Mytilus edulis: one gene and its partner. The protein of the gene in region 2 binds, or shares a complex with, the protein of the main gene of each other region. Links are inferred from orthologs where the notes say so. Each region holds a gene or a part of one and is shown on either strand. Other genes may lie near its edges.

What was found.
Region 1: H/ACA ribonucleoprotein complex subunit 2-like protein (region 2) and H/ACA ribonucleoprotein complex subunit 1-like share a complex: the UniProt entries of both Homo sapiens proteins name them as parts of the H/ACA small nucleolar ribonucleoprotein (H/ACA snoRNP) complex. The link is inferred for Mytilus edulis from reciprocal best matches to the Homo sapiens genes NHP2 and GAR1.

The regions. Positions count from the first base shown.
Region 1 is NC_092352.1:81,859,440-81,867,097, forward strand, and holds the start of H/ACA ribonucleoprotein complex subunit 1-like, read right to left. Parts: upstream 3,007-7,658; 5' UTR 2,997-3,006; coding exon 2,909-2,996; intron 1-2,908. UniProt on the Homo sapiens protein: Required for ribosome biogenesis and telomere maintenance. Part of the H/ACA small nucleolar ribonucleoprotein (H/ACA snoRNP) complex, which catalyzes pseudouridylation of rRNA.
Region 2 is NC_092347.1:73,995,278-74,002,747, reverse strand, and holds the start of H/ACA ribonucleoprotein complex subunit 2-like protein, read right to left. Parts: upstream 3,020-7,470; 5' UTR 2,943-3,019; coding exon 2,774-2,942; intron 1,123-2,773; coding exon 1,053-1,122; intron 448-1,052; coding exon 342-447; intron 1-341. Other genes in the region: ADAM 17-like protease, read left to right, coding at 3,128-3,185, 5,736-5,865, 6,737-6,864. UniProt on the Homo sapiens protein: Required for ribosome biogenesis and telomere maintenance. Part of the H/ACA small nucleolar ribonucleoprotein (H/ACA snoRNP) complex, which catalyzes pseudouridylation of rRNA.

The DNA.
Region 1 (7,658 bases), on a different chromosome or scaffold from region 2:
GACCGACACCAATTTTGTTGTCAATGAAGAAAATACACTTCTAAAAAGAATATCTATATTTAGAAATAAAGATGAAGTTTGATGGTGGTAAAACAAGTTAAATTATCAATAATCTCTTTATAGAGCAAAGGAGTTAGTAAATGTTATCAGTTCTGTTCATGCGTGTAACATTGACAGAAAGTAAAAGGTTGTATGTCAATGTTACATACATGAAGACCAGAAGATGAAAGTGGTGTGCTTAATAGTCAACTTTGGAAAAATAATATAATTGCTGCCCAGTAATATCTAATTAATCATTTAGGTTATAAAATGTTATATAAATTTCTGACTTTAAGGAAGTAATACCTTTGCATGTAACATAAAAAAATCTTGACACAAAATATTGTTGTCAATGTTACTAGCTAGTGTTAAAAGACAAATTAAACAGGAAAACATGAAAACGCTTTAATTTTGTAAAATAAAAATAAGATAATAGCTCCATATGGCAGTAAGTTGTGTGTACGCATGTAACAATGGCCTGAACATGTAAAAGTCTAAATAATAGACTCTGTCAATGTTACATACACATGCAATTTCTTAATGAAAAAAAAGTTTAATTTGGGTTTACTTTATACATTATTTTTTAAAATAAGTATCATAATAATAACTTTGAATATAAAAAATTAGATTAACTGTTGATTTCAACACAGTAAAATCTTCTCATGTAACACAAAAAAGACCTGATACAAAAATCGTAGTCCATGTTACTCATAAAGTTATCATAGGAGCATCAAAGAAATTGTGTGATGACAATATTTCAGATGTTAGTCATTTATAAACTCAGATAAACTCATTTTAAAGCTCATAACAGAGGTTTGGAAATCAATGCGTTTAAAACATTATAATTCTGGGTTATGTATGTAACATTGACAGGAACACCAACAAATGATGAGGAAAAAATGCTAGTCAATCAGGAAAAAAATAAACACAAATAATTGAAACTCATTTATTTCTTTAATATCATTTTAATGAAGCAAATTTAAATTTCAACAAGATTTTATTGATTGAATAATTGTATGCACATTTATTAGGTTGTAGCATGTAACCTGGACACAGAAGATGTGTCAATGTTACATGCCTTTAAACGATAAGAATTACAAGTAAATATTGTAAAGTCTAGAAATCAAGAAAGATCAACAACTTCTCTGTTAAGAATTCAGCTTAAATTTACATTTGATTTAATATTATGCACTGGCCAATTATGCTTTAAGTGTAATAAAGTAATATTGTTTTTATTCTGGTGTCAATGTTACATTTTATGTTTTCAAATTAAGTGGCCAGTTATCTTTATAATGCTGAGAATGAATACAAGTACTAGTTAATCAAATTGGCAATTAATCTGTGGTATTACATGTAAAAAATTAGATTGATAAGGCAAACCGTACAAAAAAAAGCTTTTGCATGTATCATAGACACCTTTCCTTGGTAAATATTTTCGTGTCAATGTTATGTACAGAAATCTCTCCAGCAATAAAATGAATATCGTAAGGGTCAAACCTGTTAAAATACAAGATAAACTTATATTTTTTGACAAAATTGCAAAGCAAGTCACACATTATTATCAAAGAACCTAATTTACACAAAAAGTGCATGTAACACTTCATTGTGAGGTCAAATTAACCTGGTCCCACTCTCTTATCATCTGCTTGATCACTGGTAGATGCCAAGTGTGAAAGATGACAAAGCCACATTTTAATGTAATTGTCAGTGGGTTGAAATGTGAAAAAAATAATTATGTTAATGCTTACTATAAAAAGTATACAACTGTTATAAAAAGATAAGTATTATTGGGCAGTATTGACACGAAAATGAAATAAATTTTCGTACCTTCTATATTTTTCAAACTTCAGTTGATTGATAAAAATCATGAAATCCAAATTGTAACCATTGTTGACACCTTTCAAAATTTGCCATGCTGGACCAATAACTTGTTTCCAAAGCTAATCAGCTAATGAAAAGGTGCATGTAACATTTGTTGACGGGAAAAGTTACATGCACTTGTCCATTTTCAAACGTATTTTATTTGCAGCAATAATCGGATTCTGTACAAAATGGGGTTTCTAAATGATAGACCGATCATTTTGCAGTTGATTTTCAACTATTATAGTAGAACAATTCTTCAGGCATATTCTAAATATGACTAGGGGTTTTGCCACTGCAGAAATGTCACACTTTTTGTCTACAGTTTTCAACTGCCAGCACATAACAAGTGCTGATTTTTTGTTGATTTTTTTAATTGGAACCATTTTTTTTGCATGTGGCAATAAAGACTAACCCACTTTGATATTTAAACAATGTTTATTCTCCATATTTGCATGATTTCTTTATTTTTTAATTGGATAAACACTATTGACCCTAAAATTTCACTAGCAAATTCCTGCCCATATACCAACCAAGATTTAACAGCATTTAATCATTCTGACAATTGCAGGTATATGTAGCTAAATATGTATGTACACATTGATATAACTGTGCTACATTGTAACATCATATAAGGAATACTTTGTAACGTTGTACTTTGCAAGCTTATAATGTTATGATAAATGTTTAAACAATTTGACATGACTTAAAGTATTTATTGGCTAATAATTGTGAAGAAGGAGAAAACATGACATTTCTTTGAAGTGGGAGATTTGAACTCTTCTGCTACCAATAATAAGGAACTATCAGAAAATTTCCAAATTCTGAAGAACAATGAAGAAAAAAGTATTGGATGGTTATCTTTAGCTTGATGAAGAATGAGGGTTGACTGCTACATCATGTACATGTACATGTATAATTTTCATGGTATAAAACTTATATATGGATCATCTTGAACAAATTATATCCAAATAAGTCAAGATCTTGTGATCAGCCCCATCAAACTCACCTCCTCTAAATCCACCTCCACGACCACCGCCAAATCCTCTTCCTCCTCCTCGGCCTCCACCCCTACCACCACCTCTTTCAAATCCCATAATGCTAAAACCTTGAAACAGCAAATATATAAAAATTATCACCAATGTTCCATGAGGTTGTTTATTCAGTTTGTTTTCTAAGTAGTATAATAATCAACAGTCAGGGGACTTTATACTTAAATGAATGATTTTCTAAATCACCGATTCAAAAAACATTTCAGTGTTCTCCCCAGGACGTTTTAGCATCGCGGTACCGTGACGCTATATTTTCTTCCCGTGACGCTATAATAATTTCCGTGACGCTATAATTATTTTTAGGATGTTATTTTTCTCGTTTCTATATGGCAAAGCCATGTCCTAAATTTTGAACTTTCATCTAATTACCGCTTATGATCATAAAAAATATATCACCTTTAATCCCTTCATGTCGGACAATAGACAAATAAGAGTGAATAAATAGGAGTTAATTGCCTTTGGGGGATAACTGTTTGGATTGGAATACCCTAAGCTGTCACTTGTGACATGATTAATACCACGTGGTCTGCAAAATATTACAGTAGTATATACTTTCTTCCTCTTCCTATCACTTTTTGTAAATCGAGAGTGAAAATTTTGATTATGAGCTAAATAAGTTTTGGTCTTTCTTTAGAAAGTGATCAATATTGGCTTTAGTTTATGCTTCATCCATTTAATGCATTAAAAACGCCATATTCATTCCAAATCTCTTGTCAAACATTGTTTATTTTTGTATTTTTCATTGCTTTCAACGGCCATTTAATATTTTAGTGTAAACTAATGATGTGAACCAGACCAGATATGACAAAAATCCGTATTTTACAATAATAACTACATTTGCACAAATGGCACAGTAAACATGGTAAACAGAAAACAATGATACCTAAAGAGAAAACTAAGCACAAACAGACTATTTGTCAGATAACTTTGTTAAGAATATATATCATTTTGATAAAAAGAAACAACTGGGACTGATTCATTGAATACCATGAGCCAATATATTTCATAGACATGATAAAGATTTTTTTTTAACTGGGTAGTTCATGTAGGTAGGGTAACTAGAACCACACATATTTTTTTCATTTGGCCCAAGAGGAAAAATAATTCTGGAACTATAAATGAATATATAGAAAACATAAACTGAAAATACTGTTATCATGGTTATACTTTAATTGTATTCTCAGTCATGAATTCAACAATATTGACACAAAGAATAGGGTTGAATAGAATATTTTATTCACCAAATAAGGACCTATAGCATACAAACAATATAATACATTTTGTAATAAACAATAAAGCATATATATCATAATGGAAATAGAGCATTGCCACGATGCGACAAATTACATTGAAAAAAATACATTTTTTTTTACGCCAAATGTGATGCTATCCAAAATTTCTGGGGAGAACACTGCATTATGTCCAAAAAGATTGGAAGGTAGAGTTGTCTTTCTTAACTAAACGCCTGTTTAAATCAACATGGTTAATAAATATTGAAACATACATTAAATTGTCTTTTTAAATATAGTTATATACCAGAAACAAGTGAAAAAAACATTTTTTTTTATATTATCAAGGATATATAATTTAAGATAATATACATGTACCATAATAAAATTGAGAAAGGAAATGGTGAATATGTCAAAGCGACAACCACCCGACCATAGAGCAAACAACAGCCGAAGGCAACCAATGGGTCTTCAATGTAGCGAGAATTCCCGCACCCGTAGGTGTCCTTCAGCTGGCCCCTAAAATATGCATAATAGTACAGTGATAATGGACGTCATACTAAACTCCGAATTATACACAAGAAACTAAAAATTAAAATCATACAAGACTAACAAAGGCCAGAGGCTCCTGACTTGGGACAGGCGCAAAATTGCGGCGGGGTTAAACATGTTTATGAGATCTCAACCCTCCCCCTATACCTCTAGCCAATGTAGAAAAGTAAAAGAATAACAATACGCACATTAAAATTCAGTTCAAGAGAAGTCCGAGTCTGATGTCAAAAGATGTAACAAAAGAAAATAAATAAAATGACAATAATACATAAATAACAACAGACTACTAGCAGTTAACTGACATGCCAGCTCCAGACCTCAATTAAACTGATTGAAAGATTATGTCTTCATCATATGAATATCAGGTACAATCCCTCCCGTTAGGGGTTTAGTATCATACTATCATAAAATATATGAGAAGAACATAACCCGTGTCATGCCAACAACTGTTTTTTTAGAAATAAATGTGTTTAGTTCCGATGCAAAGACCCTATCAGTGAATCAATGTTAAAGCCAAAATATGCAATCTTTAATGACCTGACAACAGTATCGTAACTATATCCCCTTTTAATAAGTCTATTTAAAGGTTTTGTTAGTTTCTGAGGAGAATACTGACATTTTTGTGCTTTATAAAGAATATTTCCATAAAATTTTGGATGTGAAATACCTGAACGTATAAGATGTCTGCATGTTGAGTTATATTTACGAATTATTTCCTTATACCGGTGATAAAATTTAGTAAATGTTTTGACCAGTTTGTGATATCGAAAACCCTGGTGTAATAATTTTTCAGTAATACATAAATTTCTCTCGCTAAAATCTAATACATTGTTACATACACGAGCGAATCGTACAAGTTGAGATATATAAACACCATAAGATGGTGACAAGGGAACGTCACCATCTAAAAATGGATAATTAACAATAGGAAATGAAAAATCATCTCTTTTATCATAAACTTTTGTATTAAGCTTCCCGTTTATGATATAGATATCAAGATCGAGGAAAGGGCAGTGGTCATTGTTAGCATTAGCTTTGTTTAAAGTAAGTTCTACAGGATAAATTTCTTTAGTATACATACTGAAGTCGTCATTATTTAGAGCCAATATATCATCCAAATATCTAAAAGTATTGTTAAATTTTTCTATCAAATGTTGTTTTGATGGGTACCATGTATACCTTCAGTTTACAGCATGGTTAACAAATGGTTAATATCAAAGATTCAAAAACAAATTATAACATAATATAATCTTGACTTATTTCACACTCAAAAGGTCAAAATACATTTGTTGCTAAAAAAAATCTTAAAGACTGACAAACACCATGAACACACTGAAATATGGTGGGACATCAACATCGTACTTATGAGAAATAGTGCACCATATGAGGAATATTCAGTACAAGAGAGACATGTCATCATGGTCATGTTAATCAGTCAGGGGACTAACTGAAATAAGTGATTTTTAAATCACTTTGGTGATTTTTAAATCACTTTGTGTAGCAAATTCGAAGTTTTGTCACAAATTGTGATTTTGTAGTTTTACCAAAATTTTAAACACATAGGTTTAAATAATATCTTTTTATTAGTAAAATTGAAAAAAATGAATTTTTTGCTTGTTTTAAGTATCAAGGTTTATGCCTTTGATGCTATCATTTAGCTGCAATTCTATTTCAGTTGAAAAAAATGCTATAATAATGGCTTTACATAAGGCCACAATTAAAAATATTTCAGTTTGCCCAAACCCGACCCATGATGACTGGGTGTGGGTAGGTAGGTAGGCAAATTCTTTTTTTTTTTTTTTTTTTATCAGAATTTGCATGAAAATATTAAAAGATCTTAAAACAGTATATCTTTTTTTTTTCGTCAAACCTTTGTAGAGAAAACCAAAAGCCATGAATTTAAAACCTCTATAAATAAATTAGTCTACTATATGATTTGTATCCTGAGATGTTTATAACACTGACAATTGCTAGCTGTGTGAAAGGGCTGGTGGATTTATGAAGTGATTTTCAACAGTTCCATCAACACGATGTTTTTGTAAAAAAAATATCAGCTGATTATGTAATGATTAAATTTGTTTGCAGTTTTTAAATCCTATTTCTATTAAAATATTTATATGAATTATTATCTACCATCCTTAGTTTGTGTCTTGTTTATGTTTTGAAAACAAATTTGTATTTACATTATCACACAGGTAAACTAATTTGGCTATACCGGTAAATAGATCAAAGCATGTTCTGTAGAATCTCCAAACTAAAAACGTATTTGTTATAATTTTATTTCTTTAAATAATCAAGTTTAAATTTTTGAAAATAATCATTATTGATAAAATATAATTGCATAAAGTTAACGTTTTCTGAAGACTATTTATTTTTAGGTCATGGTTCTAGAGGCTTCCTCACAAATTTGTAGAAAAATCCAATATGGCGTCCATAACATGTTTTTACTTTTGCACATGTGAAAAAAATATTTCTGTCAAAAGTCAGATTTCTCTTGTCAAAAGGGATTTATATTGCAATAAATTATTCAGAGGGAGTTACATTCAGTTAAGATTATATTTCTGATTCTGTGAACAATTATAGTTTTATCAAATTCTCCCAAACAGCAACGTACTGATCTTGTCTAATGAGACTTGTAAATTTGAACTATTTGAATAAAAGGGCATCTAATTTACATGATAAAGAAAGATTATAATTAAAGACAACAATTTATCAAGAAATAATTCTTTTTTATTCAGTAAAAACAAAATCTTCTTGCAAGATTGTAAATTCGCAACTTTTCCGGATCCATTTCCTGTCAGAATAACATTGAAAATATTCGATTGCACATGGTTTTGAACAAATCTACCTGAATATTCTTATCAGATATTCGATAACACGATGAAATTAACATTGAGCATATAGGTAAGGGTTTGGTAGTACAGAC
Region 2 (7,470 bases):
TTACCCTCCAGTAGAATCTAAATTCCTTCCAAAAGTCAGATAGTGGTTGTTTTCTGGAAAAAGTTTTTTGTGTTTTGTGTTTTTGACATAGTTTCTGTGTTATTATATTTCCAACGGTTGACTAGTTTCGGTTGTCATCATTTTGTCTAACCTTCGTCTTGAAAGGAAAAAACTTTAATATTTCATTTCAAGTCTTACATTTGGTAAATGTTTTAGATAGTGTAGAGAATTTTCATGTACTGATAAATTTCTTTTTTGAGAGACATGTACCAATACATCATGGTATGATGCATAACCTGTAGCATTAAAAATTTCAAACAACAACATAAATGTAGTCATACCTCTTTTGATGGTGTGTAACAGTATGGTAGTCCCTCCTCTTCACAAACCAAAGGCATGTGACAAATAACATCAACTGGGCTTACATCACCAGCTAATATAACAATCCTAGTAAAAAAGAAAATCTCATTAGTCATGTTAATATGTGTTGTCCATTGTGTTAAAGGGAATGTATGAGTTAATAACAAATTCTTATTAGTCATTTAAAAAGTATTTGTCTTCATTCTTAGGCCTACTTTTTAAAAGTATTAATGTCCTGTTGCCCCACTGCCTAAATTTGAGTGCTAACTCTCAAGTTTCTTTACTTTTTACAGATAACCTTTGTTCTGGTAATATCCTTACAAATAGATTTCTACAACATTAACCTGAATTCAGTAATATATATGTTAGGCACAATTGCCTTGTTTTAACAAAAATATGAATAAAATTGTTTATTACAATAAAAACAATGAAGTAAACAGCCATAAATATAATGAATGATGAGTATAAGTGGTCTATGAGTGATGAGCAGATGGTATAAAATTCATAATAAAGTATTTGCATGAGTGATGCTCTCAGTCATGATTTTGTAAGCAGTGGCCTAAAATTTCCTACTTGTACTTTTTGTGATGTCAGATAAACAGGAGTGATTTTAACATTTCCTGGTTGACAAGTCCAACAAAAACTTCCTACATGTACTTTTTGTGAAGTCAGATGTACAAAAATGTACTCACCCCTTTTCTCCTTTTCTAATAAATTTTTGCACTTCTCTCACACCTTTTCTTAATTGTTTCTGTTTTGAAGCTGAAAACATAAAAGTACATGAAAGAAATAGTCATATCAAACTGATTTGTAACAGCAACATAACTAAAGCTAGTAACTTACTGAAAATTTTCACTATTTCAAATTCCATAAACTTTCTTCTTCTTCTTCTGTAGGTATACAATATTTCATTGATTTCGATGATTACATACTGTTCGCATACGTGGACTATTTACATAGATATAGGAAGATGTGGTCAACATGTTTACCCTAATTTAAACGAAATATAATTAAAGTGCAATGAAATGTTAAATTTGTGATTAAAACTATGTACAATTTAAATTGATACTTTTAATTAATAGAACAGAAAACAGCTGAAGTGAGCTGTTCTTTGAAGCTATTAATGGATGGTGCCTGAACTAGTACCACAAGGAGCTGGTTCCACTGTGGTATTGTGTAAGGAAAGTATGAATGTCTGTAGGAGTCTTTCGATGTAAGAATATGCCTATATGAGAGTGTACATTTTTTTTTGTTCTTGAGTCTGCTTTTATGAGTATGACTGATGGAATAGCAACAAGATGATATTATATTTTGTACATCATTACCAATCTTATGCGGTCTGCGTTCTGCTAATGATGGTAAGTTAAGTGTCGTAAGCATGTTTGTAACACTACTTGTATTATGGTATTTATTGCAGTCATACCGTGCAGCTCGTCGTTGGACCATCTCAATTTTGGATACAGACTTGGTTGTGTGAGGGTCCCAAACAGAACAGGAATTTTCAAGTTTGAGTCTGACGAGTGCTTGGTATGCCTGGGATTTTATGTGTGGATATGTTGTTTTTAAATTTTGTTTTAGAAAACCCAGTGATTTTAGATTTTTTTGATGTGTTGAAGTTTTATTCCAGCATGGGAAACTTCCCACCATGTAATACAGGGCAATTATAAGAGGGTGGTAAAGGGTTATTTTTGTGCAACGTGTTTTGCCATTTTTATTTCACGTGCAGCCATGAAAAAGGTTCATTATTCACTGTGTTTTGTGAAATTTGTTAAAAAGATCAACGAGCAGGAAATTTTTAATTGTTCGCTTGTCATGAAATGGCAATTTTATTTTGCGTTCTTCCGTGCAGATACCCTCCCTTTCCACAGGCACTTGTTTCTATCCATACGAAGGTCGACTATCCATATAAATAGATATGGATAGTCGACCTTCGTATGGATAGAAACAAGTGCCTGTGTCCCTTTCCGCCCCTCTTATAACTTCTGCATAATAATAGAGTGTGAGGTCATATTAACATTGTTATCATCTACAGGCCTGTAGCCAGGAATTTCCAAGGGGGGGTTCATTGGACTTGTGAACTCGACTTTAAGTCACAATTTGAACAAAACGTTGGCTTTAAAAGTGCTTATTTGATTTCAAGGGGGGGGGGGGGGTTTCGGGCTACGGGTATGATCTACTGCCAGTTGATAGTCTTTTCCAACGGGACAGTTTAGTCTGTACTCAAAGGGTAGACAATTTGTGAGGTCTAACACAGCCACTTTTGTCCATTTATAATTTATGATGAACCAGTAGTCGGCATTACAAAATATTTTATTAAAGAAAGCTCTATTATGAACATAAGTCATTCATTAAGCACAGAAACAACAGAGAATAACATTTAAACAATCTCATTCTTAGCTACATGTACATGTACCTTTCTTAACAGCTTTGTAAATTCTTTTTGTCAATTTTCTTGGGGCTAACGGCTGGGAAATAGAACTCTGGTACTTGATTTTCTCTTGCCATATTTCTTTACTGTCACCTCCGTCCCCTGCTTCATCCTCTACCTCAGATCTTCGTTTTTCTTTGCTTGATTTTCCCATTTCACAGCGTGCTTTTTAGAGTTTGTTTTGTATTTTTGGTCCCTCCACGTGCTAAAGTGATAAAAATAGCTTTTAACATTGATGAAAATACTGCAATCTAAAATCACACGGGCGATCCAGACTTTGAACTGGTTTCTTTACACCACACAAAATTGTATACAAGGTACCAGATAATATAGGCTGTGATGGAAAAACTACTTTCGGTTATCATTATTTCTTCTTTTTGTGTATTTTCGAGTAGAGGTAATTATTGAATATACACACAAAATACATTTCTTCCATCTTGAAGGGAAGATTTTTCAGAAAAACAACTATCCATGTTGGTAATTTCCATAACACATATAAAAGGTGCCAACTATTGAACTATAACAGGTTGGGAACAAACCCCCTGTATGGGGATTATACCTCTATAGAGGAATAATCCTTCTATAGAGGGGTAAAATTATCCCTCTATAGAGGGTTATTTTTGTTTGCACTGGATTTAAAGCAAATTAGGGCAGAATGGCATTTTCTAGTTATATTGGCTCTAATCTCTAGCATTATATGCATCAACATATGCACTTTACTAAAAATTGGGATAACCAGTTTTCTGCTAAAGTGACAAAACATGCAATCTATTGTAAACCTATTTGAACACCTGATCAACAACAAAGGGAATAGTTGACCTTTAAATTTCATTTTAAATCTAACAATAGAAATTCTGTTCAGTGAGGCATAAGTGAGTAGAATTTACCTGATCATCACAGCTTTCAATCATGGTGAACAATAGATTTTATATTTAGTCAGATAAGCATCAAACTGGGCATGTGCATATTTAATTAAGTACATCAATTGGTGCATCAACTGTTCCAGGTTACTGCCATAATAAGTAGAGAATGCCATTCTGCCCTATTTTGATTTAAATTCAGTCTAAACAAAAATACCCCTCTATAGAGGGATAATTTTACCCCTCTATAGAAGGATTATCCCTCTATAGAGGTATAATCACCATACAGGGGGTTTGTTCCCAACCTGTATAAAAAAAGCAACTTTCAAAATCTCCAAATGCAATGGGAAGGATATCCCTTTTTCTTCTTCAATCGTAGTACGAATCTAGGTCCTTTCGCGCTGATTCACATTCGCACCCACTCATGTTCGCCCCCTTTCACTTTCGCACCCTACATGTTCGCGCCCAATTTTAATTGGTTTTGTGTTTAATAACTATATCTTTGTAATCAAGTTTTGGCAAGTGTGTTCTTATATTTGTTGTCATTGATTCAAAATAAAGTGAGACAGCATTTTTTTTTGTGTTGAATAAATCTTAGTCATGTTTTGGATAGTGTATTGTTAAAAAAAAAAATAATCCTTTCTAAATAAAGTGGGATTCTGTCAACGTTTTATTTTGTGTTGAATAACTCTTAATCATGTTTTGGTTAGTGTATTGCTATACATGTAACTTTGTTTCATTGACTTGTTTCAAAATAAAGTGTGATTCTGACTACGTTTTTTTGTGTGTGTTGAATAAATTTTATCATGTTTTGGTTATAATAGTGTATCGCTTTATTTTATTGTTTCAGATTAAAGGGACCAAGCTGTTAAAAACAATTATCTTTTGTGTTTTCATTTAAAATCTTGAATGTTTTATTTACACCAAAGCAATTTATAACAACAATCATGATTTTCCAATTATTCAACTGGAATTTGAATAAAAATCGGGCGCAAACATGTAGAGTGTGAACGGACCTTGGGTGCGAAAGTGCGAGGTGATAACGTGTAGGGTGCGAAAGTGTATTGGGCGTGAACGAACCTGATACTTCCTGGTACGGGAAAGACTTCGGTGCCAGAGTGGAATATCCCGGTACTATGGCGCTATCATGTACATGCAAATGGAAAAGTAATTGTTGTTTGACGTCAATAGTTCAAATGGGACAGATTCTCCATTCAGCCAGAAATAACGATGAGGTGTATGGTTCTGAAGTTATACCCTGTTTTAAATGGAAAAATTACAAAAATTTTAGTTTTCGTTCTTTAACTTAAGTTCGCTCAACCAAATATTATTAAACTTATACACAATGCTTATTACCACAAAATACAGATCAAGTTTGAATTATGGTGGGGTCACTTTAACCATTCTCGAGTTATGCACCTTTATAAATGGGAAAAAATGCAAAATGTTTAGTTTCTGTTCTTAAACTTTAGTTGCCTCAACCAAATGTTATGAAACTTATACCCAATGCTTATTACATCTGATCTATTTCTTAAAGCATCAACACAATCTGCAAGTTCATTCTAATGTAAAGTTTACCGGCGGGTGATCCGGGTGATCCCTCAGAATTGTGAAAATCTCGGGTCACACCCGCAGAATCCGGGTCAGTTGACAGGTATGATGTAAACACTCTGGAAAAACTAATTTTGGAGATGCTGAAATATTTGCTCTGCATGTTCTTGAAAACCCTGGTCAATTATTCTTCGTTTTATAAAACCAAAAAGGGGTTTAATAATTTGATAAGATAAAATCAATTTTAGTCACAAGTTGAAATTATAGAAAAAGCATTTTACCTTGTGTCATTATTGACTTTTATGTCAACTTAGACTTTAAAATAAAATATAGAAATATCTAAATGATCTGTTTAACAAAAAGTCAACTGGTCACCCATTCACAGGCCCTTGAGTATTGTTGAGGCATTGCACCCTCTTTTTATTTTCTTTTAGGTGTTAAAATTTGATTTTTGTACATTAAAATTTCGGATTTTTTTTCCTAATTTTTTCAAATCAAACTCACATTGGGAATGGACTTTATATCTTCTTTTTCAGCTGATATATCAAGTAATTTGGACTATTTTGAGACCCTGAAGACAGTTGATATAAATAAGCGTGTAAGACGAAGTGTGGATCCACACCCAAGTTCTCACCTGCATGAAATTTGGTTCTCATCTTTAGGGAGGTATGGTTTTGTTTTGTACATATGTTGTAAAGTCTGTGGATTTGTCATTAATTTTTTAGTGTATGATTAACCTGAACCACAAATTTATGAGTTGAAATTTACAATATACTATTTTTTAGATTCATCAAAGCCTTTGAATTAAGTATCTATAAAAGTACATTTTCCCCACTCAATCCACAAGAACTGTTGTCCATTTATATTGATATAAAATGTATGGCAATTTATTTCTCATTTACTAAACAAATATTTATGTCGACAATAAAAACAACAACACTCAAAAAAAATATTTGTAATAATGTTAGAAATTATACAGACAAAAGTGGTATCTGACAAATAAGATAAAAAATATTGAATTTCAGTGAGCAGTAAAAAGAAATAATATATCCTATCTGTAATCATGGTAATATATAACGCAAACATTAGGTGAAAAATTCAAGTTTGGTACACTTACATGTACCACTTATAAAAAGGAATAAGGTGATATGCTATTACTATCATGACTATGATTGCCAATGAGACAATTATTTAATAAATTCCAAATGACATTGATGTGAACAACTTAAGGTCACCTTATAACCTTCAACATAGACCCATACTGTATGGTCACCAATAAAAGCCCTGCCATGACAAAATTAGAAACAATGTATTTTAGAGTTACAGTGAGGTTCTTCATGATAGGCTTCATACATTATTCAGAAGTTTTAAATTTTTAAATCATATATATCACTATAAACTGATAACGTAATACCTAATCACTCTGCAACTTAAAAAAAATCATAACAAGGAAATATATCAAAATAATTATTTAGAACATTTGATTTTTGTGACTCGTGTGTACAAATGGTGAACAAAAATTTTTTTTTTGCTTCAGAAATTTTCATTTGTATGTGAAGCAAACTAAAGTTGTGTCTGATGATTTCAAAGCTGTGGTAAGCAGTAATGGAGTGGAGAGACCACTTGATATTGACACTGGAAACTTTTATACTGGTACCTTGAAGGGTGAGTTGAAGATGCTAGTACCCAATATGCCCACTGTAAACAGTTTAATTTTGGACTTTTAACTTGTACGTTTTAAAGAAAACATGCATGCATTACCTATCATTAGGCTATTAATGAGGTATTCTTAATGATTCTCGTTCTTTGAGTAAATGTTTGCACGAGAGAAGATTATTTTAATGATTCCTTGATTTTCTAAAATATGTCAACTAAAAAACTGAAAATATTGCTTGAAGAAAAACATTTAACAATAAAATATAGTAGACTGCAGTTTAAAACTGTTACCTGTGTATAACTTGAGAGTCATAGTGAAAGATTCAGTTTGAATCTACTCTATTTAAGATATCCTTTGTATGATAATAAAATTGAGAGTAGAAATAGTGAAAGTGTCGAAAAACAACTCAACCAAAGAGCCAATGGCTGTTAAGAATTTTGCTTGTACCTGTAATCTTCTTATCCATTCATTTATTTCCGAAAAGGATTAACTTTGTTATCAAATTTTTATGAATAACAAATACAAAAATTATTTTGCTTTTCTGATTTCATAAAACAATTTAGAGTAACACAATTCCAAGGTGGCTTATGCACAATGCTCTATTTGACAGGAGT